Linked DNA regions of Mus musculus. The protein of the gene in region 4 binds, or shares a complex with, the protein of the main gene of each other region. Links are inferred from orthologs where the notes say so. Each region holds a gene or a part of one and is shown on either strand. Other genes may lie near its edges. The genes, in order: Ints1, Ints7, Ints12, Ints2, Ints4, Ints9 and Ints6.

Region 1 (3,715 bases), on a different chromosome or scaffold from region 4:
AGGCATAAACCATACAGCCAGTATCCTACACCATGGCCACACACCTACTGCCAATGCCACGGCCATACACGTGACCAGTCCCCAAAATCACAGCACATACCTGGTCCTCAATATCACTGCCACACACAAGCCTGACCCCTACAATGTCATGTCCTTAGGCTGCAACCCAAGCCTACTGCTGCCTGAGTGGAGCTGCCTGGCGGAGCTGGGCCTGCTACAAGCAGGATTCCTCATGCTGACCCTCCCAGACGTCAGTACAGGAATGACAAGGCACCATCCCCTACACTAGCCACTGAGCAGCTCACCGCGACAGTGGACTTGCTGCATTCCCCACGGGCCAGGCCCACATCCACTCTACTCTCTCCCTAGTCGTTAAGTGTTCGAGCTGCCCAACATGTGTGCACAGGCTCTGTCACCCTGCCCATGTGTTCCCATGGTGATAGTGATGGCTAGAAGCACATTGCCCAGCCCAAGGGAAGACGCTGAGACCTGTGAACAAGGGACTTGGCTGCAGAAATGGCACACAAGGAGGCAGACACCAGGGAGTGTATACACAGTGCCGCCCCGGGCTGAAGGACGCTCACCCACTTACTTGGTCATCACCATCTCCATGAGCATCTTCAACGTTGGATACTCCTCCCATGCGGCCAGGCCTAGGGGACAACAGGAAGTTGCCCTAAGGACTCACACCAGCCTCCCTCACCCCCAGCCCCCACCCTGCGTCCTAGCTGGTGCTTCTCATAGGCTCTGGCCCAGAATCTATTTCCACGGCCTGAACAGCTCACCAATGTTCTCTGGGTTGAAGGCAGCGACAACCAGCAGTAGGGGCCAAGCCTTCCAGTAGAGGGTGGAGATGGCAAGGTTTGGGGGCTGATACCTGGAAGGCAGGGCAGTGACACTGTGAGCTCGGTGCCCTGAGCTCAGGCCAGGTCAGTTCTATTCCCTAGAACCCAAATACAAACACCAGACAGAGTGGTCCACGCCTATAACCCCAGTGCTAGGGTGTGTAGACACAAAGCCCTGGACCCCGCTAGCCAGCCAAACTGAGGAACTCCAAGGGGAAAAGTAAGAGGCCCTGGCTCAAACAACAGGTGAGCAAGATGGCTCAGTTGGTGTCATCAAGGCTGAGGGCCTGAGTCTGATCCCCAGGACACAAATGGCAGGACAGGATTCCCACAGTGTCCTCTGACTTGCACATACAGGCTGTGGCACATCTACTTGCGCACACACACACACAGCTTAAAACCAAAAAAGCTAGATAAATGGTTCAGCAGATAAAGAGACCCACCACCGGGTCTAAAAACTTACATTCAAATTTACACACACACACACACACACACACACACACACATATGCTCAGACTATAGATCAGTAGCAGTGTTTGCCTAGTACACACAAAACTCTGGGTTCAACTCCTAGTACTGAGAAAAAAAATTTAAAGAAGCCAGACATAGAGGTGCACACCTTTAATCCCAGCAGCACTCAGGAAGCTGAGGCAGGTGAATTTCGAGTTTAAGGCACCTGAGCTACACAGTAGTGAGAGACCATCCAAAAGGGAAGATAATAAAAAAGAAAAGCCCTCAAAGTCTGAGGCTCCAACCCCCTCCACCCCCCATCCCCCCAACAAAAAAAGCTACTGGAGAAACAATCTCTCACACACGAGAATAGCAGGAAGCAGTCGTGGGCCTTGGGACCCAGCTCCCCCTCAGCCTTGCTGATGGGCAGGCCAACCTGCTGGGAGGCGGGCCGCAGCCTTACCCCGGGGGCAGCTGGATATTCTCAGGATGGTGGTAGGTGCACAGGTTCAGAACCGCATCTATCAGCTGGATCCGCTCCACCTTCAGAACTTCCACATCTGAAATCCAAAGATACCTGGGTTCCCGAGTCTGGCCCAGCCCACCCCATGGGCAGCTGGAAGGAAGTGGGACGAGAGACTGGGACGGCTCCTGGTGGTGTGTGAGTATGACTGGTACCACAGCATGACAGGCAAGACACTGGCTCTGCAGGTGGCAGGACCCCTGACAACAGTGAGGGTATGAGATCGCTTTTGTGAAGGGCAAGGCGCCAGGGTGTTACCATCAGCCTGCACAGCTGCGGCTCGCTTCACAAGGTGGTCAGCCAGTTCCATGGCATCTGCAGGGCCAAGAGGCAGCTCTCGGGACAGTCCAATGACCAGGACTCTCATCAGCGTGTCCTCCAGAATGGGGACCTCTGAACAGAGGCGCAGGAAGAAACTGCAGGTGACATTAGGAGACAGGTGGTAAGGAGCCACCATGATCTCCTGTGGCCACCTTCCCGAGGGTATAATCTTCCTTAGTCTAGTGGCCCGTGTAGGAAATGCACACTAGTTCCCGGCCTTTAATGGATAGGGAGAGAGTGGGAAGCCACTGTCACTCATTCACGAGTGACAGTCAGGCTGCACACAACCCTGGCGAGCAGCTGGCAAACATGGCAGCTAGGGTAGGTAGCATGCTTGTGGTACAACAGGACAGCAGTGTCTAGCAGCTAGACTGACAGCAGGACTGGAGAGGCCATGTCTCAGAACACACAGGTAACCAGTGGGTTGGAAGGGACAGGGTCAGTCCAGGAAGGACAGAGTGGGAGCGGAGAGGAGTTCCCTGGGGGTGTGTCCAGGGAAGGGGCAGGAGTGTGAGGCAGACACCACTGCAGGAGAAGAACAGTACTGGGTTTTCAGGGTGGGGCTACCCGCCCAGCATCTGCTATGCATGTGCCCACAGGCTGCACTCTGGCTGCCTGCCCACCCCAACCCTCACTTGCGGTCGCTCTCGGGTGGCCAGTTGTCCCACTTGTAGTAGGTCTCGGGCTGCTCGGTGAAGAGCACCTTGTGGAGGCTGCAGGGACAGAGCAGGTGTCAGTCAGGATGCAGCTGTGCAAGGAGTCTTCACCCTAGCAGCGCTGCACAGGGACCATTTGGGCAAAAGCTACTGATGGAAAAGTACTGGGGCTTCCCCCCCCCCCCCGACTCCTGAGCCACCTGCCCACAGTGGCCACTAGTGACCAAGAGAGGGGTCGGTTGGGCCTCTGTGAGGAGAGGTGGCTCACGTGTGGCTCTCAGGCTCAGGACCCTTCCTTCTGTCATCAACCGGTGTTGGGGCTCTAAAGGCATGCGGACAATGATTGCCTTGGAGGTGATGGCTCCCACCTGAAGTGTACCCACACAGGTGACACAGCGAGGCTGAGAGACGGTCTGCCTCTTACCAATGCACATAATCCTTGGGGGCGAGTTTGCTGACGGAGGGGACGACAGTGTGAAGCCACCACACCGCATCCCGCTGGATAGCCGCAATCTGGTTCTGGAACGTCCGGAGCACCTCGAGGTCTAGGGAGTGAACAGGCTCCTGATGCCCCGCAGCCGTGGACTCCAGCAGGCTGAGCCACTCTGGAGACCACCCCTGCTCCCACCCAACAACCAACAGGATGCCTGAGTGAGTGAACACGCTCCAAGCACAGATGACCCTCTCAACCAGACGGCAGGAGGGGACCGCTGCTTCTAGAAAACCCACCTCCTCCGGCAGCCATGCCGGGACCCCCACTCACACCCCCACCCTGCCCTCGGTTTCCAGGGACGTGCAATTACTCGAGGCCTGGTTTTACGTCCACGGCTGACAGTGCCCCCAGCCAGCAGGGCCTTACTTCTCTTCTCTCCTTTGTCCCAGGCGACTCCAGCCTCCTTCACCTGGGCTGTAATGCCCAG
Region 2 (3,715 bases), on a different chromosome or scaffold from region 4:
CATGCGCTTATGCACATCACACCAAATAGCTAAGTACGATACAAAGGAACAAAGTGGACTTACCTTCTGTTGATATTTCATTTATCATGTTTAAGTCATTAAGCAATGTATTCCTTTTACTCAGAGCACTGCTTATAAAGTAACTAGGAGAAAAAGGCTCACAATTAAGGAAAAATGAATTATGATATAGTCACCCAGTGAAATCCATCAGTGAAATAAACCCAGAGATCAATATAAATTACTAGCAAGGAAGGCAAACGGTGAAAGTTGACTGGCAGCATAACCTCTGCACAAAGCTAAGACATGCAAAGCAATGCATATGCTGAGGTCACCCAAGTGCAAGTGCAGTGCACAGAGGAAAGACAGGAGGAGGAGTTAACATAGGGAGTGTGATGGTTCACCTTCACTTTCAATTTGACTGGATTTAAAATTACCATGTATGCTGGATAGCTGTGTTAGGTTAAAGTCATTTGAGAAGAGGGAACCTCTGTAAGATCAGGTTGTAGACATACCTGTAGGGTAATTTTTTTCTTAATTAGTGATTAATGAGGAAGGGCCCAGCCCATTGTGGTAATGCCATCCCTGGGATGTTGGTCCTGCGTTCTATAAGAAAGCAGGCTGAGCAAGCCATGAGGAACAAGCCAGTAAGCAGCATCCCTCCATGGTCTCTGCACCAGCTCCTGTCTCCAGGTTCCTACCTGGCTTGAGTCCCCACCCTGATTTCCTTCAATGATGAATAGCAATGTGGAAGTGTAAGCCAAACCAACCCTTTCCTCCCCAACTGGCTTTCTGGTCTTGACACTTCATCCCAGTAACTAACACCCTAATTAGGACATCATGGGCTCACACCTCAGGTTTCTCCAGAGTTTCACCAAGGTGGGATGACTTATCCTCAGCAGGGACAGCACATGCCGTGGCTGAAACCCTGGACCGATGACAAAGATTACACACGGGGTGCTCATCATTCTCTGCTTCCTGGCATCATGTGATATGGCCACCCTGTGAGGCTCCGGTGGCCACGCCCTCCCCGCCATGCTGGACAGAGCCCTCTCAGACTGTGAGCTCAATACCACTCCTTCCTGAAGCTGCAGACAGGGTGGAGCAGAGCTGGGGTAGATTTAACTCTATACCTAACACTGTTCTCATCTTTTTTGAGACTGGGTCCAGCTGACCTACAACTCACCATGTTGACCAGGATGCCTTCGCTCTGCATCCCTAGTGCTGGATGAAAGGCATGCATCACAATGCCCGGGCTAGCATTGTTTCCTTCAGCAAAGTCAGATGCAAACATTTTACTGTATTCTTTCTTAGATTAAAAACAAAAAACCCCTCGTGTTTTCTTTTTAAAATTGGCTTTAGTAGTGCTAATAAAAAAGGACAGAGATCACTAGCTCAAATGCCACTTCAATAAAAAACAAACCTGGCTGACATACTATACAGCAAGCCAAAGACTTTGAAATATCCAGCTCTAAACAGAGTGTTTCCATCAAATCCCTCCCTTTATGTCTCAGAGAACCCTCAGAAGAGGAGACAGAAAGAATGTAAGAGCCAGAGGGATGGAGGACAGCAAGGAAAAAAAGGTTGTCTAGACCAATATGATCAAAGCACACATGAATTCAGGGTCCAAGGCAGCTCGCAAGGGTGTGCACGGCTAAGGTTCTGCACTAGATCCTTTGTGTGTATGTTATGGCTTCTAGTTCAGCATTTTTATCAGATTCCTAAGAGGTTTAACTTTTAGAAAAAGCTCCTGGTAGCTGGGAACAAAGACTCACGACTGTAATCCCAGCCAGTGCTTGTGAGTTCAAGACAAGAGTACTGCCCTGAGTTCAAGGCACACCTGCACTACACAGTCACACTCTGTCTCAAAAGAAAACAACAAAAGTTACTGGTACTGCCTTAATTTTAAATATTTTTTGTAGTACTGTGATGAAAGCTAGGGTGTTCTACATGTTGGGCAAACACTGTACATTGCACTATATCCCCAGTCCTGCAGAATTACGTTAACCTGTTTGCTTTTCAAATAAAGTCCAACATTAGTGCTGGCATTCTTAGGTATCTGCCAACAGACTAGTTCCTAGTCATTTACAGCAGGAAAAAGCAGTTCCTTACCAGAAGTTCCTGTTGCTTGTCTGTGGCTGATCGTCCAATCACCTTGTAGAGCTCCACGAGGTCCCCAAGCATTCCATCGCCCAGTACCGGGAGCTGCATGGCAATGGCTGCCAGGCAGTGGCACATGAGGATCCGGGCAGCATCCTGAGAGCTGTGCAGCTGAGTTAGCAGAGTGTCAACCACTGACCTGCTCAGATGGGGCCGGCCCTTGGCCAGCTTCACCATACAGCTGAGAGCACTCTGCAGAGAGAACAGCCTGGTTACCCCTGAGTGGAGGACTGCCGAGCCTGCACTGAGGCTCTCGCTTCAGTCCCCAGTACTGCAAAGGGGCAAGAGGGAGAGTGCACTGCTACACTTTAAAGAGCACCTTGTTTAAGTTATGGGGACTCACGGGCACGTTCTTTGTAGGTTCACCATTTTTCTCCATAAGCAACACAGGATTCTGAATCCCACACCAGTGAAGTGTGCTATGCTTAAAACATGTCCAGAATTTCAATAGGCAGATGAAAATCATGAGGCTAACCCTAAGGAGGCAGAGCTACAGCACTTCCCAGGACCTGCTTCTGCAGAGTGCTCGGAAACCACCCACAGCAGAACTCAGGATGGTGACGGACGCTAGAATGTTTATGAGGCCACTGCTCCGCATAGCACATGCATGTTCGGTTTACTGATGACTTGGTTTCAGACGCCCTCAATGACTTTGTGAGCATCAGTATGGGAAGACGCTTCTAATTTTCTCTTATTTATTGCTCAGCTGAAAGTTAAGAGCTGACAGCTGCAGATTTTCTCTGTTGGGCCTACTTTATGACCTATGTGTTATCCTAGCTAACAAAACTAAAAACATGGATGCCTCTCACTTTCCACCACTGATTTATGTTTCTAAAATTCTCCCTCCCATTCTTCTACAACACCACAAACGTCCCACTAGTTCTAATCTCAGGAAAAGATGGGCCCATCTGTCTTTCCTTCGTACTACAACCACATAAGCTGCCAGTGTGCTGAGAGGCACACGCAATGAACACAAAGTGGACCTTAGCTGGAGCCCACATCAGCTAGGTGGCTTTCAACAAGTTGAAATATATATACACGTCTTCAACAGTTGGGCACACACTACACAAACATAACTACAACAAAGGCAAGACTGTCTCCACTATCCTAAAATTCTAATGTCTCCTCACTCCCTATAAAGTCAAGTCCGCATTCTTTAACACATCTGATGGCCTCCATACTTTCCCTCTCACTAGTCACTCGATGCAGTCCTTTCAATATGAATGGCACATCCTACTACACATGGAGGAGCCTCTAACCCTGGAACCTTCCTGATCCTCTATGTACAGCCCACTATACTAAGTCCAAAATCTTATTAAAATCTGTAATTGTTGGCATCTTCAGAAACAGGGCACAGAGGCTCCTGTTCTGGAACTGACCTGAGAGCCTCCTCCTGAGGACTAGCCTTCACATTGTACCAGAGGTACCAGACAAGCTTCCAAAGGACAGAAGCAATCAAGAGTCCTACTTAACACCTATGGACAACATGGTACAATAAACCTAGAAGTGCAGTGGTGATGCACACGCCCTTTCAGTAACCAACAGCTCTCGACTTGGA
Region 3 (4,257 bases), on a different chromosome or scaffold from region 4:
ACCCCTGCCATAAATTACTGACATCTTTCAAACCCAGTTCTGCACATGGTGGAATGTTGTGTGTTTGTGCGTGAGCGTGTGTGTATAAGAAAGATTTAGAGACCACTATTCTAAACTATCCAGCAACTTCCAATTTCCCTTTTCTCCCAATACATCATGGCTTCTTTAAAGCACAGATGCTCATCCTGCAAATCCATCCAGTGTTTTTACTGAGCTCAGCCCTTCACCCTCCTCAAACTAGCTTTATTAGCCCAGTCATTAATAACACATTCCTCTATAGTTCCTCCTTTTTCCTCAAGCACTATCTATCTGTCTTTACTATTCTCACTAATGACATCATGTTTTACAGCTCCCAACACGGAAGTGTTCCTCTGACTTGTTCCATCAGAAAAGCTATAACAGTACTCAGATAGAACCTCTTCTGTATTGCTCAGCTTAGAAATTCCATGACTCCATTTATCAACCTCTGACCTCAGGGGTTTATTTACATAATATTAGGGCCAGGCCCTTCTTTCTCTCTCCCTGACATTACCTTTAATTAAGCATATATTATGATCTTCTAAAACATTTTATAAATAATTTTATTTAGTTCATTAACAGAAAGCTTCATTTTCAGCTAGTGAAATGTGAAGTCTGCTACACCATTCTCTATGACTACAATCAACAGCCTCCTTCTTTGCAAACTATATCTTCCTTTTTTTTTTTCCTTCTCCACTGTTTTAACTCAAGAAGATATCTGGGGTATTATAAGACAATATTTTTTTTAGTTAATTCCCTCCCCCCCCTTCTTTCTTGCTCCTATTTCTTTTTCAAACCAAAGAGAAGCAGTAGGTGGCATAAACAATGTACATGTAAATAGAGAACAGGAAGATAGATGAAAGAATATGTTAAGTGTGAGTTTATTTTAAAAACCTAAGCACTGTTTAAAACAAAGAAAGGAAGAAAATGAATACTTATTACTGTAAAACTATCAATAACCTAGGATGTGGCAGTGATAGCTAGCGCTGGTGGGAGGGATGGTTGGGGCACACCAGGAAGTACCTGTAGCTATGCAAGACACACTGCAACTGCCAGCCTACACAATAATCTCCCCGCATCGCTTACCTCTGTTTATGGCAGTATGCTATTCCCTTCCTGTTCGGCTTCCACTCTAGAACAAGCCGTTCCGTGACTCTCTTCCAGTTCTCTAAGCATCCTTATCCCACTGCTCTAAGGTTTACCTACTGTGTAGACATGCTTCTATTTGGCATCTTCTCCCGTCTACACCCAAACAAGTGCCACTGAAAGAAATACCATATTCTCTTCCAGGTTATTAGTCCTATCTAGCATGCTTCACACTTAGCATTCTCATGCTTGTTTGGTCAACTCACTTCCCATCTTTCCAGAAAGAACAATTACATTTTCCTACTGAACAGGACCTCTTGCAGCCTCTTGACTCTTTATTTCTCCAAGTCAGTTTTAAGTCCAGCTTCCCTTTTCCAAGTCCCCTTCTAGCTCTAGCTACTCTCCCCTATTTTAAGATCAGGTGAATACAAGAGGGATACTTTGTATTTTTACATTTAAGTTGGTATTGGACCTCTCTTTCCCTGGCTTTCTCATTCTTGCCACTATTGTTCCAATGCTCTGTCTTGCTTTAGTCTCACTACCAATTTGTTCTTCAGCAGTCATGAGCATTTTGTTGTCAAATACCATCTCAAGGCAGATGACTCTGTATGGTTTTTCTCTCACTTCCTCTTATTTCTCTGTTACTCTGAAAACAATGACCAGACTATTATATTCAGCTAACTCACCGAAGTCTAATATTCTTGTCTTTTACTCTACACAGTTCTAGTCACTTCAGCAAAAGGCATTCATGAAATGCAACTGTCTTTTCCTCTCAACATAACTCAAACACAAAAAAGCAAGACAATCGTCTATTTTATGGGTAGGGATGTGTACAGTGCTCTGACCTGCAACATTCACTTTCTACTCTTTCATTTGTCTTTAATTATTAATCTCACTAGTGTATAGCTTTTATGAGAGCAGAAGTTTATGAAGGGGGAATGTGAGGGGGAATGCAGGAATTTCCCTGGCAAGTAGCATTTCACAGGTGTTTTTAAAAAATATTTATTGAATCAACTGGATTTTTGCCAAAATGGTCCTTTTCAAGGCTGCTGTGATGTCCCCAAACAAAATTGAGCACCCCTACCTAAATAGATGCTTTCTCTCAGATCTCTTTCACCCTGCCTACTAGTTTCAAACAAACTTCTAAGTTGATCACCTGCTAGTGCATGAGATAAAGGAAACTGCAGAGAGTGCAATACTCATTACAACACTCGAGACCATCCCATTCGTGTTTCTGCAAGATTCTGTAATCCTTTCCAATTAACTTCTTCTTTCCATTTAGTGCTTCGCCTTTGGGGAAGTCTGGAAACTCAGGATGTAAAAACCCCAATTCCAAAACAAACCCAAGCGCTAGAGAAGCTAAGGAGAGTCAAGAGACACTTCGAAATGCCAATTCTTTGATGGAATCAAAACACACTGGGGGCGGCCTCGAATAGGGGTAAGTCCTTCTCAAGGAGGCCAGAACAGAGATGTAAAACGGGAGCTGTACAGAGGTCTCCGGAACCCTCGGTCAAAGGTCTTGGACAATTCCACGGTCCCGGTCCCCCGGGCCACCGTCCTCGGCGCCCTCCTCACTCAGTCCTTCCAGACTAGGAGGAGCGCTCAGGCGGAGCCACGCAACCACCCCGCAAATTATGAGGTCTCCCCTCCAGCAGGGAGGAGACCGACAGCCCACGGAGCTCCGCTCCGGCCGCCCCTCGCGGGGTCTCGAGCCTCCCCCCGAGGCGCCAGGAAGCGGGGACCCTCGTCACCACTCACCGCTCCGCCCCGCCACTCGGTCGGTTCCCGGTAGCTCTCTTCGAATCCGTCCCCGCCCTCACCAGCTTTAAGAAGAGAGAAACAAAGGTTCCCGCAACAGGTCGGAAGGGGAACGTTTCCGAGTGAGACAGCAGGAAGTGACGTAGGGCACTCCTTCCGGTCCGCCGGATTATGAATGGCGTTGGGCGGGGGACGCGCAGACACGTTGTCTCTTCCTTCTTTTTGCCCCCTTTCCCCTGCTCAGGGCCTCGCTGGGAGGCGAGTGCTCCTCCTCAGGCCGCGGCTTCCAGAAGTAGCCTCGGAGTCCCGGCTCGAGCTGGGCGGGAAGGCGCGGTGGCCCGCGTCGTCGCCCGCATGCTCCCGCGCCCTCCCTGCCTGGCCGCGCCCCTGCGACCAGGTAAAGAGGGCGCTCGGGCCGCTCGTCCCCCCGCCGCCTCCTGAGATCCGCGCTCGCCCTCAGGGGTCGGCGGGGCTGGGCTTGGAGGCCAGGGTGGGACCGGTGACGGCTCGCAGCCCTTGAGAGTCTTGCCAGCCCCACATTCACCGCAGGCTTTTGCTGTGGGTGCAGATGGACGGGCTTCGCGCCGTTCCGCTGAGTGACGCGTGGGCCCCTCGGCTGCGAGCCATCCCTCTAGTCTTTTCCCTGCGTGGGTAGAGCAACAGGGCAGCTTTGCCTGGTAGGGGGTTGTGTGGTCGTTTTGAGTTAAGTGCAGGAAAAAAGACCTCTTGGAGCACGACTTAACTTTCCCCAAAGACATAGTTTTACGTCGCAGCCCTTCCTGATTGGACGCTGTACATGCGTACTATTTTACAGTTAGGATCTGCTGCATTTGGGGACATTTGCTATCCCCACCAAAGCAGCGTTGCCCTTCCATTATTAGCACGAACAGAAAGCTTGAGTTTGCACGAGAACTGCTTTGGCTTAAATTAAAAAAGAAAAAAAAAAAAAAAAGAATACCCTAATACATACCTCTCTAACTTTGACTGGGGAATTACACCACCCCATCTCCATCCCCCGCCATACTCACCACCAAATCCTTTGTCATAAATTCCTTAAGGTCAGAAAAAATAAACGAGTGTATCTCGTACCACATTATTGCTAAAGATGGTGGCATTTGTCAAGTTTCCCTCGTGCTGTCCCACAATTTAAAAAGCAAGAACTGGAAGTGACTTTAAACATGTAAATATGGTCTTGAAATGCCATGAGAATAAACTGTTACAATACAACTGATTTGCTGTCATATTTAGTAGATCAAACTTTAAGCTATATGAGTGTTAAACTGCACTTTGAGGAGCATACACTGCCATTGACGCTGCTGAAATTGTGACTCAATCATTTTAAAGAGGCCTAACTTCAAAAAGGAGATTGAGGTTTGAACGTTGTTCTATAGTACT
Region 4 (3,715 bases):
ACGTCCACTATAGGAAGCAGGGAAGGGAGCTCTGGAAGAGAAAAAGCCACTGCCACTATCTATTGAGACGTGACCCCTACAGGGTTCTCTTTTCCATAGCCAGACATTTCCAAGAGGTCACCAAAATGCAACTCACTTAAGTACTAGTTCCTCAGTCACATTAGCTACACTTCAGTTAACCCACAGGCCACGGGAGGCAGGAGGGGGGGCTGCCAACTGGACAGCACAACCCGGAATACAGCAGATGTTTCCCTGAGTAGTGCTGGTCTAAAAAGCTTTTTAATTAAAATCTTTACATTTCTATATTTTCTTGTTTTTATTTTACCATATATACCTATTAAAAAGAATCTGCAAAAGCAAAAAAGGTACATAAGAAAAATGTATGTTAGTTCTAATAATACATATATGTATTTAATATTGTTGTAATAGTAAGTATATTTAATATCTAGTTTAATCCCCTCATTAGTAGTTTTAATATTAACTAAAACGGAGTTTTTATTTTTCCCCTCTGCCCTTTGCTTTTTGATCTAACATATTATGAACATTTATGAGCTCATTAAAGTTATAAATCATTAAATTAAATGTACACTGCTAACATCTCTATAACAAGGCAAACTGTACAAAAAGTAGACGTCACTGCGTCTCTGATCTAACGCTAGTCATTCAGAATCTGAACTGTCTGAAAAGACGTGAGGCGCGTGGGGGGCGCGTGGGGGGGCGCGTGGGGGGCGCGTGGGGGGGCACGTGGGGGGCGCGTGGGGGGCACTGTGAGGCTGTGAGGCCCAAGCTTCCCATCCCTCCAGCCTTTAATTTAATATTTTAAGACATGTTTCTAGTAAATAACTTTTAGATTTTTAAGGGTTTTTTTGGGGTGAGAAGCACAGTTATTTAAGATATCATCTCGCTCTGTAGACCAAGATGGTCTGGATTTTGACGCAATACTCCTGTCTTAATGTCCCAAATTTGGGACCACAGCCCGTTTTGATAGTCTTTAAAATACCAAATTTGAGCTGGAGAGATAATACTGCTCTTGTTGAGCCCCAGCATCCCCATCAGGCAGCTTATAGCTGCCTGTACCTCCAGTCTCAGGACATCCAGTGCACACCCAGACACAGACAGCTCTGCAGGCTGAGGGGTCACACAGTGACCCTTCCCGAGACACTGTATCTGTACTGAGCTACATCTTGGCAGTCAGTCCGTAAAGTACCTGCTTGTAAGATACAAAGGACATCTGCAGCTTCCTCCAAGTACACTGCACTCTCAAAGAGCTCAGAAGACTTGAAAAAGAACTCTCCATTGCACTCTGACACCTTAGGGAGAAGAAGGAAACAAGGAAGAAAGAACAAGTTTAAGTAAACTGTAATTGTTTTCTTTTTGAGCTCAGAAATCATGGGTTTATGCTGCCATTGAGATGGGGGTCTCACTATGTAGCTATGGCTGGTCTGAACTCAGTACACAGACCAAGCTAGCCTTCAATCTATTGACCTACGATGGCATAAAACACACCATCTTGTCCTTGCTTCTCTCCTGCTGGGATGGAAGGTGTGCTGTCCCATACCAGCCTCAACTCACTACCTATAATATGGCTAACACACGGAGGCAAAGTCTGTGGGATCCTATCAGAATCTGAACAGGTTAACCATGATTATTATCCACACACAGTAGCAGTAGTCTCAGAACTCCATGCTGGCTACTGTATAATCTCAGCATTTGAGAGGCTGAGGTAGAAAAGTCTCAAGTTAAAAGGCCACCCTGGCACCTAGTAAGATTCTGTCCCCCCTCCAAAAAAAAGAAGAGAGGGACAGAGACAGAGGTGGTAAGAGGAATTGATTCCAACCTACATTTTTAGAGATACTTAAAATTAAAGGATAAGGCAAGCTAAGAAACAGTATAGAAATGTTGTATGATACGAGCGTGGTGGCTCACGCCTTTAATCCCAGCACTCGGGAGGCAGAGGCAGGAGGATTTCTAAGTTCAAGGCCAGCCTGGTCTACAAAGTGAGTTCCAGGACAGCCAGAGCTACACAGAGAAACCCTGTCTCGAAAAAACAAAAACAAAAACAAAAAAAAAAAGAAATGTTGTATGTATAAACTGTTGATTAAAAAACCGAATATTGGTCTGCAAGGTGCCTCAGCAGGTAAAAACACGTTGCCACACAAGCCTGAAAAACTGAGTGTGACTCCCAGATCCCACAGTGGAAGGAAGCACAGAAAGAACTCATGAAGGTAACCTCTGACCTCTACATATGTGCCAACACAACCATCATACCTACATTCAAAAACCAAAATAAAAGGACTCTTTTAACTGTTAAAGCAGTATGACAAAAAAAGAATTCATTTACCTCTAGTGATCAATAGACACAAAGGGAAAAACAACAAAAAAGCAAACAAACAAAAAACCCACAAGGAATGACAACGTTGAGCCTGGAACAGTGGTACACCCCAGCAATCTTAGCACACAGAAAACTGAGATAAGAAAAGATTAGAAGTCTGAAGTCATCTGAAGAAAATAGGAAGATAGGTCTCAAAGGGGGAGGGAGCAGAAACTTAAAGACAAAAAAAAACATCAAGACAATAACCTCTATGTTCCTTAAATTTCCTATGGTAATATGTAACAGAATTTCTCACATAGTAAGGCCATGTTAGACATTAAAATCACCACAGAAGAAAATGTCTCTTATCACATCCAGGATGTATTTACAAGAGATGTGGGAAAATTTAAGTGTGGGAAAGTTTCAATTAACCATTAGCCAAAGGTCCATGACTTAAGTTACCTTTGTGTGTGTGTGTGTGTGTGTGTGTGTGTGTGTGTGTGTGTGTGTTATTGTGTACATGTATTTGTGTCCTTCATTCACACTGGTGTGTTTCCTGTAAACCCTGATTTGTCTGTGCATCGCCTGTGTCATGGATGATTGTAAGCCACCAGGTGGGGGCTGGAAGCCATGCCGGAGTCCTCTGTAAGACAATTAGTACTGTTAACTGATAAACCATCTCTCTAACCCAATGGGTCCCTCTTTCTGTTGTTTGGTGTGCACACCAAGGTACCTGGCCTGGAGCTTCCAAGGATTCTCTGGTCTCCCACCTTACCATGGCCCACTAGATTACAGATGTACACCATGTACAGATGTTCTAGAGATTCAAAGTCAAGCCCAACAAAAAGGTGCTATCCAACTTAGTCATTTCTACAAGTGAAATGACAGATGTTTAGGGGGCTGGAGAGAAAACATGGCTCAGTGGCTAAGAGCACTCCTCCCTCTTGCAGAGGATCTAGGTTTGGGTCCTGGCACCAACATCATGGCTCCCAATCAAAGACTCCAGTCCAAGTTATCCTGTGCTCTCTTCTGAGCTCTGCAGACTCCGGGCACTCAGAGAGTACACAGATATATATACAAGCAAAACATTCATGCACATAAAATAAATAAAAATGTAAAAATTATTTTGATGATCTTAAAAACAATTATATCAATTCCGTACACACACAAAAAGAAAATCCTGCCAGGCAGTGGTGGCACACGCCTTTCATCCCAGCACTTGGGAGGCAGAGGCCAGCCTGGTCTACAGAGTGAGTTCCAGGACAGCCAGGGCTACACAGAGAAACCCTGTCTGGAAAAAAAAAAAATACTGAATAGTTGGGTGTAGTGGCACACACCTTTAATCCCAGTACTGGATAGCAGAGGCAGGTGGATCTGGCCAACCTGGGCTATAGGAAAGTCAGA
Region 5 (3,715 bases), on a different chromosome or scaffold from region 4:
TTGTAAATTCTGTAAGTTCTGTAAGAACTGAAGAACTGTGCTCTGACTATGCAGCTTTTAGTTGCAGCTTACTTTCATTCTGTAGTATGTTAATGGCGTCGTCCATTATGCAGTCTGGAGAGAATCCTGCCGTCTTTGATAATAATCCCAAGAGTGATGCAATTTTCAGTCTCACAGATGGATCATTTTCCTAGAAAAAACAAAAAACAGAAAACAACTGTCATTTGATGCTCTGCTCTCAGCTATCAAACACACAGGGCACAGGCAACTGACGTCACAAAGGATATCCAAAGATCCAACTATTCCAGAGCTTCATTTCTGAAAAATTAACTTCATACACCTCAAGAGATAGCCTTGCTCCATCAATGTTATACTCAATACTGCAAATGGAAATGTTTATGTCTTCTTGAAGTAGTTAACTTTTAAAATTAAAAATGTGCACTTGACACTAAAATATCTTATCTCCACTACTCAGTCAATGTTGGATGTCATAGCCATATCCCCACCAACATGGCTGATACTGGGCAGCCAGCATCACTGCTGGAATGGACGGAGAGTGGGAGCTAGGGCAGCCACTGGAAAGAACCCTTCACCACTGACTCTGTGGACCCCCAGATCCTGAGTAGAAGGCTGGGACAAGCAGTGCACCTGACTGAGGCCAGACCATGTGCCTAGGCTCTAGCTTCCAGGGAGAAGGGAAAGGAGATGCCTGGCCATTTTAGTGTAGAGTCAGAGGCTAATCTCGAAGACTGCTGTGATAAGTCCCTTTCTGTATTATATTGTATAGTTAAGTACATGGCACAATCCCAACATTGAAAGATGTTTAATGAATATATATGAAATTGGATGGGGTGGGAGGGGTCTTGTCAGTGTTGGCATTAAAGTTACTACCTTTCTATTCCAATGACAAAAATATTTAATTTTGGTTGGAAAATCAACTGCCATCCACATGTGACACACACACACACACCCACACATACACACACACATACACACCCCTCACCTATATATTTTTGGTTGTGGTTTTATTTTCTATTTCCTATTTATTATTTGTGTATGTGTGTGTGTGTGTGTGTGTGTGTGTGTGTGTGTGCGTGCGTGTGCATGTATACATGTACCATACAAACTTCCAGGAGAGTCCTCTGCTTCTGCTTTCTTTCCCTCCATAGGTATGTTGGAATTACCAATATGCCACAGTATCCAGTCTCTCTCTCTGTCTGTCTATCTGTCTCTCTCTCTCTATCTCCCTCCCGCTTACTTGTTTTCTATCTATCTATCTATCTATCTATCTATCTATCTATCTATCTGTCAGTTTTTCAAGACAGGGTAGCTGTCCTGGACTGGCCTCCAACTCTCAAACTCGGTGAACTGCCTGCCTCTTCCTCCTAAATGCTGAGATTAAAAGTGTGTACCACCACTGCCTGGCCAGCACCCAGCTTCTTTATATGGGTTCTGGGAATTAAATTCAGGTAGTCAGTTTTATACAGCAAGCACCTTTCCCTGACTGAGCCAGACTCACTGGCCTGGTTTTGGGTTTCCTGAGACAGGTCTGCTTCTATAGTTCAAGATGGCCTGAAGCTCACTGTGCAGCTCAGGCTGACGACAATCTCTCAATCCCCCTGCCTCAACTTTCCCAACTCTGGGATGATAGGCATGAACTACCACCAGCTCATTTAGTTTCTAAGGAAGCACCAGATACAACCAGGCCTAAAGCAAGGGAAAGGAAAACAAATATGTTCAGAAAACCTAAAATCCTGCATGCTATGCCATTTAACATATACATTACTTTGGGAACACCATTTTCTATAAAATTAATCTGAATGTATAAGTACAGAGAAAGAGAAAGTGGTTAAAACCAGCCAGAGCTATATAAAGACAAACTCATTACAAAAATGAATGTAAATAGGAGCTAGAGAGATAGCTAGGCAGTTCAGAGCACTTGTTGCTCTTTCAGAAGACCTGGGTTTGATTACCAACACGTAGATTGCAGCTCACAACTATTTGTAACTCCAGCTCTAGGGGATATGATGCCATCCTGGGCTACACAGCAAGGCATTCTATAAAGAAAAAAATGCCACTTTGCTTTAAAAACAAACTAAGAGGGTTATCCCAGTAGGCATGAGGGCCTTAAATTAAACCAGGAACACCAGGATGATGGGCACGACACTCCAGAGGTGAACGAAGCAAGGAGACATGGCTGATACTAAGTCTTCCTCTGCGTTCTCGCTTCACTCACACAGAGCTCACAGTACCTTAAGCAAGTCATTTGCATACCTATCTCCTCTGACTACCCTGCAAGCTCCTGAGGACAGCACTTACCTCATTCTAATCTTGGTATCCAGTCCCTTCCTGCTTCTGCAGCATGGACCCACTCTGCAGACACGGTATGGCTCTGACAAACAACCCACCATGTCCTCGAGGCTTTCTTACCTTGTAATAATGTTCCAAGAGAATCCTGACTACCCCCTCCACACTCTCTGCTTCTACAGGCTTTCTGGCAAACTGGAGTAGGTACTGCAAAGCATCTGCTGGGGAGGTGGCTTTACACAGATCTATGTGGAGAGCGGCAGATTTGCTCGGCTTTGTTAATCGGAGCTTCTTGGTAGCAATTTCCTCCTGCTGCTGCTGTAAGACAGTAAAGACGGTAAGATGTGAAAACAGTCTGTAAATTTAACTTGTGTTCGTTGTATGGAAATAATTTTTCCCTTCTAACACATATGCTTAGCTAATAGAACTTAAGAAACACAGTATCCAGAGGCCAGCAGGTAAAAGTGCTTGCTGCCAAGCCTGATTATGGCCTGAGTTCCATCACCAGAACCCACATGGTAGAAAAAAAGCCAACTCTTAAACATACACACGCACACGCACACGCACACGCACACGCACACACACACAATACATAAATGTTTCAAAAATATTTAAATTTGTATAGAAGGGAACCTATCACTATAGGTTCCTTACGTCCTGGCACAACGGGCAGACATAGAAAACAAACTATAAGATAAATGTCATACTCAATATTTTTTTTTACTCTTTAATATAGTATTTTAGTGTAGGTAACAATCATTTCCCTCCAATTTTCTCTATCAGGATGATTATAGTCAGGAACACTACATAACATGAAAAAAGCAGCTTTGAAGTCAAAAGAATTGTACACTGCTAGCAAGGTGAAGCCTTCTCATCTATAAATGGCATTCCAAGACCATTGGGGGGGGGGAATAGGTGAGAAACCTAAAGCATCCTGTATTTACTGTACTGTGATAAGCACTAAACACACATCAGTTCCCGCCCCTTCCTCATCTGTATAACAAAGAAAAAACACCAGGAGTACTAAGATCTCATTTTATCACTCTATGATAACTCTACATACACAATTTAAAATACAAAATTAAAAAGTTAGTTTTTCCAACAACTGAGGGTACACACCTGTAACCCCAGCACTCGGGAGGCTCTAAAATAGATTTACTTGGACTGCAGCTGGTGCAAGAGAGAGGAATGGTTTTTCCCTAGAGGGGATACGTGAAGAAGGGAGCAATCTCTGCCATTGTCAATAGCGTCTTATGGAGCCGGGCCCTGTTATTGCTGCCACCGAGGAACACACACTGGCAGGGACATACATACAGACGCTGTCCGTCAGGGACAGCAGCACTGGGTGATGGAATCAAGTAGTTGAGCTCACACAGTGGATGGAAGCAGCAGGAGGAACTAACCTGCT
Region 6 (3,715 bases), on a different chromosome or scaffold from region 4:
TTTCTCTGTATATCCCTGGCTGTCCTGGAACTCATTCTGTAGACCAGGCTGGCCTAAAAATCAGAAATCCACCTGCCTCTGCCTCCCAAGTGCTGGGATTAAATGAGTGCGCCACCACTGCCCGGCTAACACCACTTCTTTGAAGCAGGGTTTCATGTTGCTGAGGCTGGCTTCAACTCACTATGTAGCTGAGGCTAGCTCTGAACTCTGGATTTTCCTTCCCTCAGGGTTCTAACTGCTGAGATTGCAAGCATACACTGCTACCCCTGCTCTCTTATTACTTCTTAGTTCTTGTTCTCTTTTCTGAAGATTTGCTTATTTTCATTTTATGTGTATGTGTGCTCAGCTTGCATGTCTGTCTGTGTAGCACATGTGCAGTGCACAGCCTGCAGAGGCTGAAGAGGGCCTACCATCCCTTGGGACTGGAGTTACAGACAACTGTGACCTGCCATGCAGGTCCTGGGAACTGAATCTGGGTCCTCTGGAGCAGTACTCAGAGCTCCTCCACTCCCTTTTTTAGTTTTGATAAATGTGTTTGCCCTGAGCGATGCTAACATTGGGGTAAAGTAGGTGAAAGGTGTCCGGGAACTCTATTGTCATTATGGTTTTCCGTAAATCTAAAATTATTCTAAGGTACAAAGTTTATTACTTAAACTGAAAGAAATCCAAGATAAAATTAAAAAAAAAGTATCAAACTGGGAAAAATGGCTAAAGTATGTTAACAAAAAGTTAATATCTTTAATATATACACAGAGTTCAAATATGTAATAGAGATATAAAACCTTTAAGAGGTAAATGGGCAAAAAAGGAATAATTTACATAAAAATATTTTGGCAAGTAGTATTAGATAATGAACATTAAAAATATTCCTACCCTTTATTCCAGTAATTCCACTTTTAGTAACTTACCTAAGGCAAATGCTATCATCATATATAGACAGAATAGTTTCAATTTAAGATTTATTCTTAAAAGGAAAAGCCCTGCCAGCCAATGAGAAGGTAATAAGCTAAGTATATAGATGTGAGTGATGTGAGGAGACAATACTGCAGCCACGTGCGCTGGCCGTGTGCTCATTGTATGCTGTGTGCTCCCTGTATGTTCACTGTGTGTTCACTGTGTGCTTACTGTATGCTCACTGTGTGCTCACTGTATGCTGTATGCTCACTGTATGCTCACTGTATGTTTACTGTGTGCTCACTGTGAGCTCAATGTGTGCTCACTGTGTGCTCAATGTGTGTTCACTGTATGCTCACTGTGTGCTCACTGTATGCTCACTGTGTGCTCACTGTGTGCTGTGTGCTCACTGTATGCTCACTGTGTGTTCACTGTGTGCTCACTGTATGTTTACTGTGTGCTCACTGTGAGCTCAATGTGTGCTCACTGTGTGCTCACTGTATGCTCACTGTGTGCTCACTGTATGCTCACTGTGTGTTCACTGTGTGCTCACTGTGAGCTTACTGTGTGCTCAGTACGTGCTGACTGTGTGCTCATTTTTTTCTTTCAAAGAAAGAAGAGACAAGGTATGGGCTGTAGCAGTCTGGCCTTGAACCTGTTCTCCTCCTGCCTCAGCTTCCCAAGTGCTGGGAAAACAAACATTTGCTGCTCTTCACAAGGTTTCATAATGGTTTAGTGTTATTGAATGTTTTCTGCTACATAAGCACTGCACTACTGAGCTGCAACCCCTTTAGGAAAACAAAATCAGAATTTAAAATTAAGAAGTGAAACTTGACAAGGTGATATCTAAAAAAATGTTAACTACTCAACATGATTTCTAGGTCAGATGGGGTTTATTTGGACAGTGGTGTTGTGGGCTCCAGGTCTCTATTATTTTCTATAACTTGTTTTTCTACATAACATGGCTTGCCCACTTATGAACTAACACACACCTGCAAAACAAACTCACAGAAAGACCCTGCAGGACTCCAATCCCTGTGCTGGGTGACGACCATTCTTGTAGGCACAGGCCTGATATGGTGGGGCACTGTCTACTCAGCCCACAGGGCGTGACCCAGGAGTGTGCTGCAGTATTTTTATTGGGGGTCTGAATGAAAACAAGTTTCTAACATGTTAACTTCATCTGCAAATGCTGCTTGGGGTCTCCTATGTGGGGAAGACACTTGTGTGTAAGGATAAAAACGAGTGAGAAGTAAAGACAAGGAGCAGTCCTATTGACCAAAGGGAGCAGAGTCAACTCAGGGAGACGCCCACAATTCAATGGGAAGGAAAAACCCACACACCAAAACCAGGAGAGGGGTGAGGGGCATAACACTGGGATATGTTATAACATGGTAATGTAAAAATTCCATTTTCAGGGAGGAACTTAGTAACTGCTGTGTGTCCATTTGGTCACCATACTACTAAAACTGATTGGACATATTCTATTCTGTGTCACATGGCTCTTAAGAATTTAGAAATTACATCTACCTCCACTTCCCTCTTTTGACCAGGGGAGTTAGACTCAAACTCTTCGAACATGGTCAAAGCTTAGTAACCTATGTCTAAGTGTCTGCTCTAGGAGTTGGTCAGCTTCTTGGTATAATAAAATGGATCTTTGATAAACTGGCTATGGAAATAAAGATCTAGCTTTTCTTATCAGATGTAGGTAATTACAACAGTATGAGCTTGGGGCTTTCTTATCCTTTCTTCGTACCTATGCTTCTAAATGCTAGCAATGTATGGGATTTGACTTTCAGTAGTTCACACACATGCACATGCATGAAGTCTTAAGTACTCTTAAGAAATCACAGTTATTTTCATTTTTACTGACTGAACATACTTAAGCAGAACTCAGAGAAAGGATACTACTGACTTACCACTCAGCAAAAATCTGGGAAAACTCGAGTGAACTGTTGGCAACGGGGGAGATGAAGTAGAAAGGGATGTTGGAGAGGCCAGCGGAGTCAATGTATTGATATAAGCACTCCAGGAGGTCATAGATCACGCCTGAAGGATAGCAAGGGACCAACACGTTTCCTCCATTCCGAACTGTCAGAGCTGGAAAAGTTGAGGAGAGAGAAGATGGTACCAAAAGAACAATGTTAGAAAGGACAAATACAACCTTTAAAATGACAATTACATTATTTCTCTTCTCCTGTGTATGATATGATTTATTTTTGAGACAGGGTCTTGCTATGTAGCTTTTGTAAGGTCAAGCTCAACCTGAGCTATGGGATGACTTCTGGCAGTTACATAAAGTTAGTATTTCTCAGAAACTTGTGAAACCACTCCCCATCAACCAAAAGGAGGCATTTCCCTGGCTCTGGCAGAAGGATTAAACAGCTACCCCTGGCTCCAGGTTGCTTCAGTATCCTAAGTATCCACTACACATTTCAAAATCCATGGGTGGTGCACTGCAGTGCTTCTCACTTCCTCCCCCTACTCTAAACATCCTCCAGTCAGACTTCCGTTTTGTGCCACCAGATTCATGTGTTTGAGTGCTTGGCCCATAAGAAGTGGTACTATTTAGGAGGCATGGCCTTGTTGGAAGAAGTTTGCTACTGTGGGGGTGAGCTTTTAAGGTCTTATATGCTCAGGCTTTGCCCAGTATGGAACAGTCTTTCCTTGCTGCCTGCAGATCAAAATGTAGAATTCTCAACTCTGTCTCTAGCACCATGTCTGCCTGCATGATGCCATGCTTCCCACCATGATAATGATAATGGACTGACTGAACCTCTGAAACTGTAAGCCAGTCCTAACTACTCAATCTCTTTATAAC
Region 7 (3,715 bases), on a different chromosome or scaffold from region 4:
ATTCCTACTACTTTCTTACAGAAAGGCAGGTGCAAGGAACACAACTAGATTCAAGATGCATTAGCATGTGGGCACATACCTATAATTCCAGCATTTGGAAGACTAAGGCAGAAGAAACCTAAGATGGAGGCTAGCTTGGCTATGTGGGAAGATGCTATCTCAAAAATGAACAACACTAAAAATTCAAGGCATGCTTTGAACTGAACAAAAGACAGAACAGACTTTTCATTAAAAGTAGAATAACTTAAGTATTTCAACTTATATGAAAACACATAGCCTTATCTTCAGCATTCCAAGTAGAAGTGTGCCCAAGCTGAAGTAGGCACATAAATCCTTGAGAAATTATGGACTTTTCCCTGGTAAATTATTATATTCTTCTAAAATTCTTGATTAATTTCTCCATTGCTTTTTGGTGGTGTTGTACATCTTTAACTTCTTTTACCTTTCTACATTGATATTTTGAGTGATAAGGGACGTGTGCAACTTTTTTCCATTTTTTCCTCTTTTAAGCTAATTCACATTTCAATTAATCAAATCCATGCACATACATAAACCCAACTGCCTAACTAATGCAATTCAAGTATATATGCAAACCAAAAACTATTTCATTATTGTTTAGAAACACACAAGTTTCTTTACCTGGATGCTTCCTTAATGACATTTTGTAAGAATATTAGCCTTGTTTGTAAACTGCCTTGCACATGCTTCAGTAAGGTGAAGATTCTTTCATATTCTTAAAAAAAGAGAGAGAAGGAAAATCAATTAACTGCCTCTATACTCAGACAAAAAATATTTTACATAAAAATATTACCACTCTTCAAAGCTTTTACAGACCACTGTTAACATGTATGTGCATGAAAGTATGTATCACCAAAAATAAAACCTTCTAAGCACTTTGTATGTGTGTGTGCTCAAGACCCTTCCACTTTCTTATTACACCACCACAGCAGAGTCAGCTATGTTCTGAATGGATGCCAATATTATGCACAATTCTTGTACCACGAGAGTTCTCTTGCATTCATGTGATGGCCTTACGACTTTGGTTTGGAGCCTAAGCACATGATGAAGGTCACTATCATAATTCATTCATAGTGACAGTCAGTAGAGAGGAACTTTGCAAACACACAAGACAGTGTTGAGAATTGAATTTGGGCTATACAGGTGCTCTACCTCTTAGATACACTGTTAACCGAACACCAAGTCATGTAGTATTATCCACCCTATCTGTTTGGGTTAGCTGTTGTAAAATTTCAATTCCTAGTTAGAACAGTCAAGATTCTGTGCCCCTGTCATGGCAAGTACATGTACTACATCTCTAGATAAAGACTTTCTGCTATCTACCACCCATACTAGAACACCTTGAGTACCAAGATTATTTAGTGTTTTCCAGCTGAATCTGAAATTAAACCTTAAAGAATTCAGATATTACTTCATGAGTAATCTAGCATAATACATATGCTTTTACTGATTTGACTTGGTTTTCCCTAATTGAAGACAAAGAAATTAGTAAGTTTTGTCTCTAATTATACATACTTCTTCCTGGCTTTCTGATCTCTTTCATTATTTGTGCTTTTAGTTCAGTGTTGACCTCTTCATGGCTTCTACAATGCATCAATTTCTTTCCTTTGTTGAGTGAAGATGCTGGTATATTCTCTTCGGCACTTTGTTCTTTATTTCTTGGCTCCTCATGATTTTCTAAAAACCCACCAACAGTGAGGTCATTGTTTCCTAAATGTTCATGACCAAGGGCCTCTGTATGATTGGTTGATGGTTCCAAAAGATTAGGGGGAGATGTTAAAAATTCAGTATCCATAGCATTTGGTGTCATGTCTGATGAAAGTTGGTCAGCAACATGATTTTCAACCACATCATCTACTATTGAATCATTAGTGGCTTCTGAAATGAAACCAAAGAAACGGAACGAAAAGTGAGATCTGGTATCAAAGTACAGAATAAAAATGCTAAAGTAACACAATTACTACAAATAACTAAAATTTAAACTTATGACATATTTAAAATAGAAACAACTGTAGCCTGTTTTCTACCTTATTTTAGCAAAGTAACTAAACCAGTTTTCAGTTTATACACCACTAAAATTGCCATTTTTGGCTTAAGAGTCCTACCTACCTCATCTTAAGCCTACTTATCTTTATAAACCTGTTATTCTTTAAAGAGAAAAGTAAACACTGAGTGGTGTTTATTGCTCAAGATTCTGCAAGGAACACCAAATAAGGCACATTACATTTCAGAGCACACTGTTTTCTATCTATCCTTTCAGTTCCTAGCCATGCAAAGTAATCTGGTGCCCACTTCAGCTCATTAGACCAGCAGACCCAAAAGTTTACTAGCTTGCCAATAAATATAAGATTCTTAGACATGACCCCTAAGTTTGATTATTCACCAGCCTCCAGGGCACCAGCTAAACCCTTCTATTCTACCTCTCAATGTAAAGACCTGGTTTCTACTCCTTCCATCTCCCTCTCTCATACTTTCTGAATTATACCCCATGATTTGAAAACACTTCTTCACTGATTATTCTCCACAACTGTTTCTCAGCCTTTGTCTAAGGTTAAGGCTGAAAATCACGGTAATTTCTGCTTTAATGAAAACCACACTCTCCTATTTAAAAAATAAAACAAACAAGCCACTTCTCTCCTTCTCAAATGTGGAGTAGAAATTGCTTTCTCATGAGTGTAAAAGTGAGATAGTCACTGACTCTTTCACCTCTTAAATGTAATTTTAAAATCTCTTGTATTTAATTCTTTATAAAGAAAAAAGCAGCCAGGCAGTGGTGGCACACGCCTTTAACTCCAGCGCTTGGGAGGCAGAGGCAGGCAGATTTCCGAGTTTGAGGCCAGCCTGGTCTACAGAGTGAGTTCCGGGACAGCCAGGGCTACACAGAGAAACCCTGTCTCGAAAAACCAAAAAAAAGCTCTTACGCTCTCAACTTTCTTACTCTCATCTCTAGCTCTCCTTTTCCCCCTCTCTCCACGTGGTCATGACTGGCTTCTCTCTTTCTACCTTCTCTCTTTCTCTCTGCCTTTCTACAATAAAACTCTAAAACCATTAAAAAAAAAAAGGCAAAAAAACTCCTGCACTTTTGAACAATTCTCTTCATACTGAGTTCAGTGCACATGCTCTGGCACCTCGTTCACTGTACATTCGTAAGTCCCTCCTAACATTCTAGGAGGTTCTTACAAGGAAGCCTCAGGAAAGCCTCTGAAATGCTTCCTTTGTGGCCCAGTCCTGACTTGCATGATAACAAGCAGTTTAACAAGGACCCCAAGCACTCCCCTTGCATGCTCCAAATTTATGAAGTTCTGTAGCACCAATGTCTACCAACTTTCACTCCAGCAACTCCTCCACCTTCTTCTTTATGAGGCTTAAGCCCATGCTAGGTCACTTTCAACAATGTTCCAATGATCTAGTTCTAACATCCCACACTATGGTATCTATCAAGTAAACACCAGACTTAATGGCCAGTTTACACTGTCTGTTAGCTGCAGCCATTTAATTGGAGTGATGACAATAGCTGGAAAAATAGGAGCCAGATCTACCAGAGTGGTCCCAATTACCACCGAGGTTTGGATCGTCCACTTCTTAGCAAGCCTACTCCATGCCTCCTCCCTTTCCCAGATACTCCATATCCTTCCTTCTCTTCCTTCCGAGTTCTAACTTTTCCAATCATCTTCTCTATCTCAGCAGTATACCTACT

What was found.
Region 1: the proteins of Ints2 (region 4) and Ints1 are in contact, whole or in part, in a cryo-EM structure (PDB 8RC4), measured with the Homo sapiens proteins. The link is inferred for Mus musculus from reciprocal best matches to the Homo sapiens genes INTS2 and INTS1. Residues at the interface, in NP_065799.2 of Homo sapiens: Pro40, Leu54, Lys69, Leu72, Arg73, Leu75, Ser76, Gly77, Val78, Glu79, Val81, Asn82, Val85, Gly125, Thr127, Leu128, Glu131, His132, Glu166, Val172, Tyr173, Glu176, Arg322, Gln325, Gln326, Arg329, Gly400, Lys402, Thr769, Met772; in NP_001073922.2 of Homo sapiens: Gly561, Ile562, Ala563, Trp564, Asp565, Lys566, Gly567, Ser982, His1055, Met1056, Thr1058, Pro1060, Glu1095, Arg1096, Thr1098, Ile1099, His1102, Leu1107, Arg1225, Ser1250, Phe1251, Gly1252, Ile1253, Tyr1285, His1288, Glu1291, Val1292, Gln1293, Glu1295, Arg1296.
Region 2: the proteins of Ints2 (region 4) and Ints7 are in contact, whole or in part, in a cryo-EM structure (PDB 8RC4), measured with the Homo sapiens proteins. The link is inferred for Mus musculus from reciprocal best matches to the Homo sapiens genes INTS2 and INTS7. Residues at the interface, in NP_065799.2 of Homo sapiens: Gln27, Lys28, Val29, Cys48, Arg51, Met52, Cys55, Ala56, Ala58, Asp59, Gln60, Ser61, Trp64, Phe92, His93, Ala186, Glu187, Pro189, Ile194, Val218, Asp220, Ser221, Asn223, Glu224, Ser259, Leu262, Lys263, Arg265, His285, Gly294; in NP_056249.1 of Homo sapiens: Leu38, Gly39, Glu40, Cys42, Glu43, Val46, Arg47, Asn77, Phe78, Leu81, Cys82, Leu84, Lys85, Gln88, Gln89, Asn114, Asp115, Pro116, Val117, Ala120, Ile121, Arg124, Val153, Glu156, Val159, Phe160, Ala163, Leu195, Lys196, Pro199.
Region 3: Ints2 (region 4) and Ints12 share a complex: the UniProt entries of both Homo sapiens proteins name them as parts of the integrator complex. The link is inferred for Mus musculus from reciprocal best matches to the Homo sapiens genes INTS2 and INTS12.
Region 5: Ints2 (region 4) and Ints4 share a complex: the UniProt entries of both Homo sapiens proteins name them as parts of the integrator complex. The link is inferred for Mus musculus from reciprocal best matches to the Homo sapiens genes INTS2 and INTS4.
Region 6: Ints2 (region 4) and Ints9 share a complex: the UniProt entries of both Homo sapiens proteins name them as parts of the integrator complex. The link is inferred for Mus musculus from reciprocal best matches to the Homo sapiens genes INTS2 and INTS9.
Region 7: the proteins of Ints2 (region 4) and Ints6 are in contact, whole or in part, in a cryo-EM structure (PDB 8RBZ), measured with the Homo sapiens proteins. The link is inferred for Mus musculus from reciprocal best matches to the Homo sapiens genes INTS2 and INTS6. Residues at the interface, in NP_065799.2 of Homo sapiens: Ile855, Asp856, Pro857, Leu858, His895, Arg923, Glu925, Leu926, Lys927, Ala929, Leu930, Ala932, Ala933, Gln934, Ser936, Ala937, Gln940, Ile941, Glu944, Asn1010, Lys1013, Leu1014, Phe1017, Gln1018, Gly1019, Tyr1020, Pro1021, Ile1046, Ala1047, Gln1048; in NP_036273.1 of Homo sapiens: Ile484, Val486, Arg487, Ser488, Arg489, Phe527, Gln528, Val529, Ala530, Leu531, Leu532, Asn533, Phe541, Arg542, Asn543, Ala544, Tyr545, Ile547, Arg549, Leu552, Leu553, Leu556, Met559, Arg560, Asn562, Leu563, Leu564, Lys565.

What each region holds. Positions count from the first base shown.
Region 1 is NC_000071.6:139,765,645-139,769,359, forward strand, and holds part of Ints1 (integrator complex subunit 1), read right to left. Parts: coding exon 3,655-3,715; intron 3,341-3,654; coding exon 3,220-3,340; intron 2,853-3,219; coding exon 2,775-2,852; intron 2,300-2,774; exon of another isoform or gene 2,235-2,299; coding exon 2,077-2,234; intron 1,856-2,076; coding exon 1,759-1,855; intron 878-1,758; coding exon 786-877; intron 654-785; coding exon 593-653; intron 1-592. UniProt on the Homo sapiens protein: Component of the integrator complex, a multiprotein complex that terminates RNA polymerase II (Pol II) transcription in the promoter-proximal region of genes.
Region 2 is NC_000067.6:191,606,454-191,610,168, reverse strand, and holds part of Ints7 (integrator complex subunit 7), read right to left. Parts: intron 2,350-3,715; coding exon 2,110-2,349; intron 513-2,109; exon of another isoform or gene 1-512. UniProt on the Homo sapiens protein: Component of the integrator complex, a multiprotein complex that terminates RNA polymerase II (Pol II) transcription in the promoter-proximal region of genes.
Region 3 is NC_000069.6:133,090,582-133,094,838, reverse strand, and holds the start of Ints12 (integrator complex subunit 12), read right to left. Parts: upstream 2,985-4,257; 5' UTR 2,863-2,984; exon of another isoform or gene 2,800-2,862; intron 1-2,799. UniProt on the Homo sapiens protein: Component of the integrator complex, a multiprotein complex that terminates RNA polymerase II (Pol II) transcription in the promoter-proximal region of genes.
Region 4 is NC_000077.6:86,251,051-86,254,765, forward strand, and holds part of Ints2 (integrator complex subunit 2), read right to left. Parts: intron 1,311-3,715; coding exon 1,208-1,310; intron 32-1,207; coding exon 1-31. UniProt on the Homo sapiens protein: Component of the integrator complex, a multiprotein complex that terminates RNA polymerase II (Pol II) transcription in the promoter-proximal region of genes.
Region 5 is NC_000073.6:97,483,827-97,487,541, reverse strand, and holds part of Ints4 (integrator complex subunit 4), read right to left. Parts: intron 2,626-3,715; coding exon 2,431-2,625; intron 191-2,430; coding exon 73-190; intron 1-72. UniProt on the Homo sapiens protein: Component of the integrator complex, a multiprotein complex that terminates RNA polymerase II (Pol II) transcription in the promoter-proximal region of genes.
Region 6 is NC_000080.6:65,019,595-65,023,309, reverse strand, and holds part of Ints9 (integrator complex subunit 9), read right to left. Parts: intron 2,995-3,715; coding exon 2,814-2,994; intron 1-2,813. UniProt on the Homo sapiens protein: Component of the integrator complex, a multiprotein complex that terminates RNA polymerase II (Pol II) transcription in the promoter-proximal region of genes.
Region 7 is NC_000080.6:62,695,060-62,698,774, forward strand, and holds part of Ints6 (integrator complex subunit 6), read right to left. Parts: intron 1,897-3,715; coding exon 1,534-1,896; intron 734-1,533; coding exon 640-733; intron 1-639. UniProt on the Homo sapiens protein: Component of the integrator complex, a multiprotein complex that terminates RNA polymerase II (Pol II) transcription in the promoter-proximal region of genes.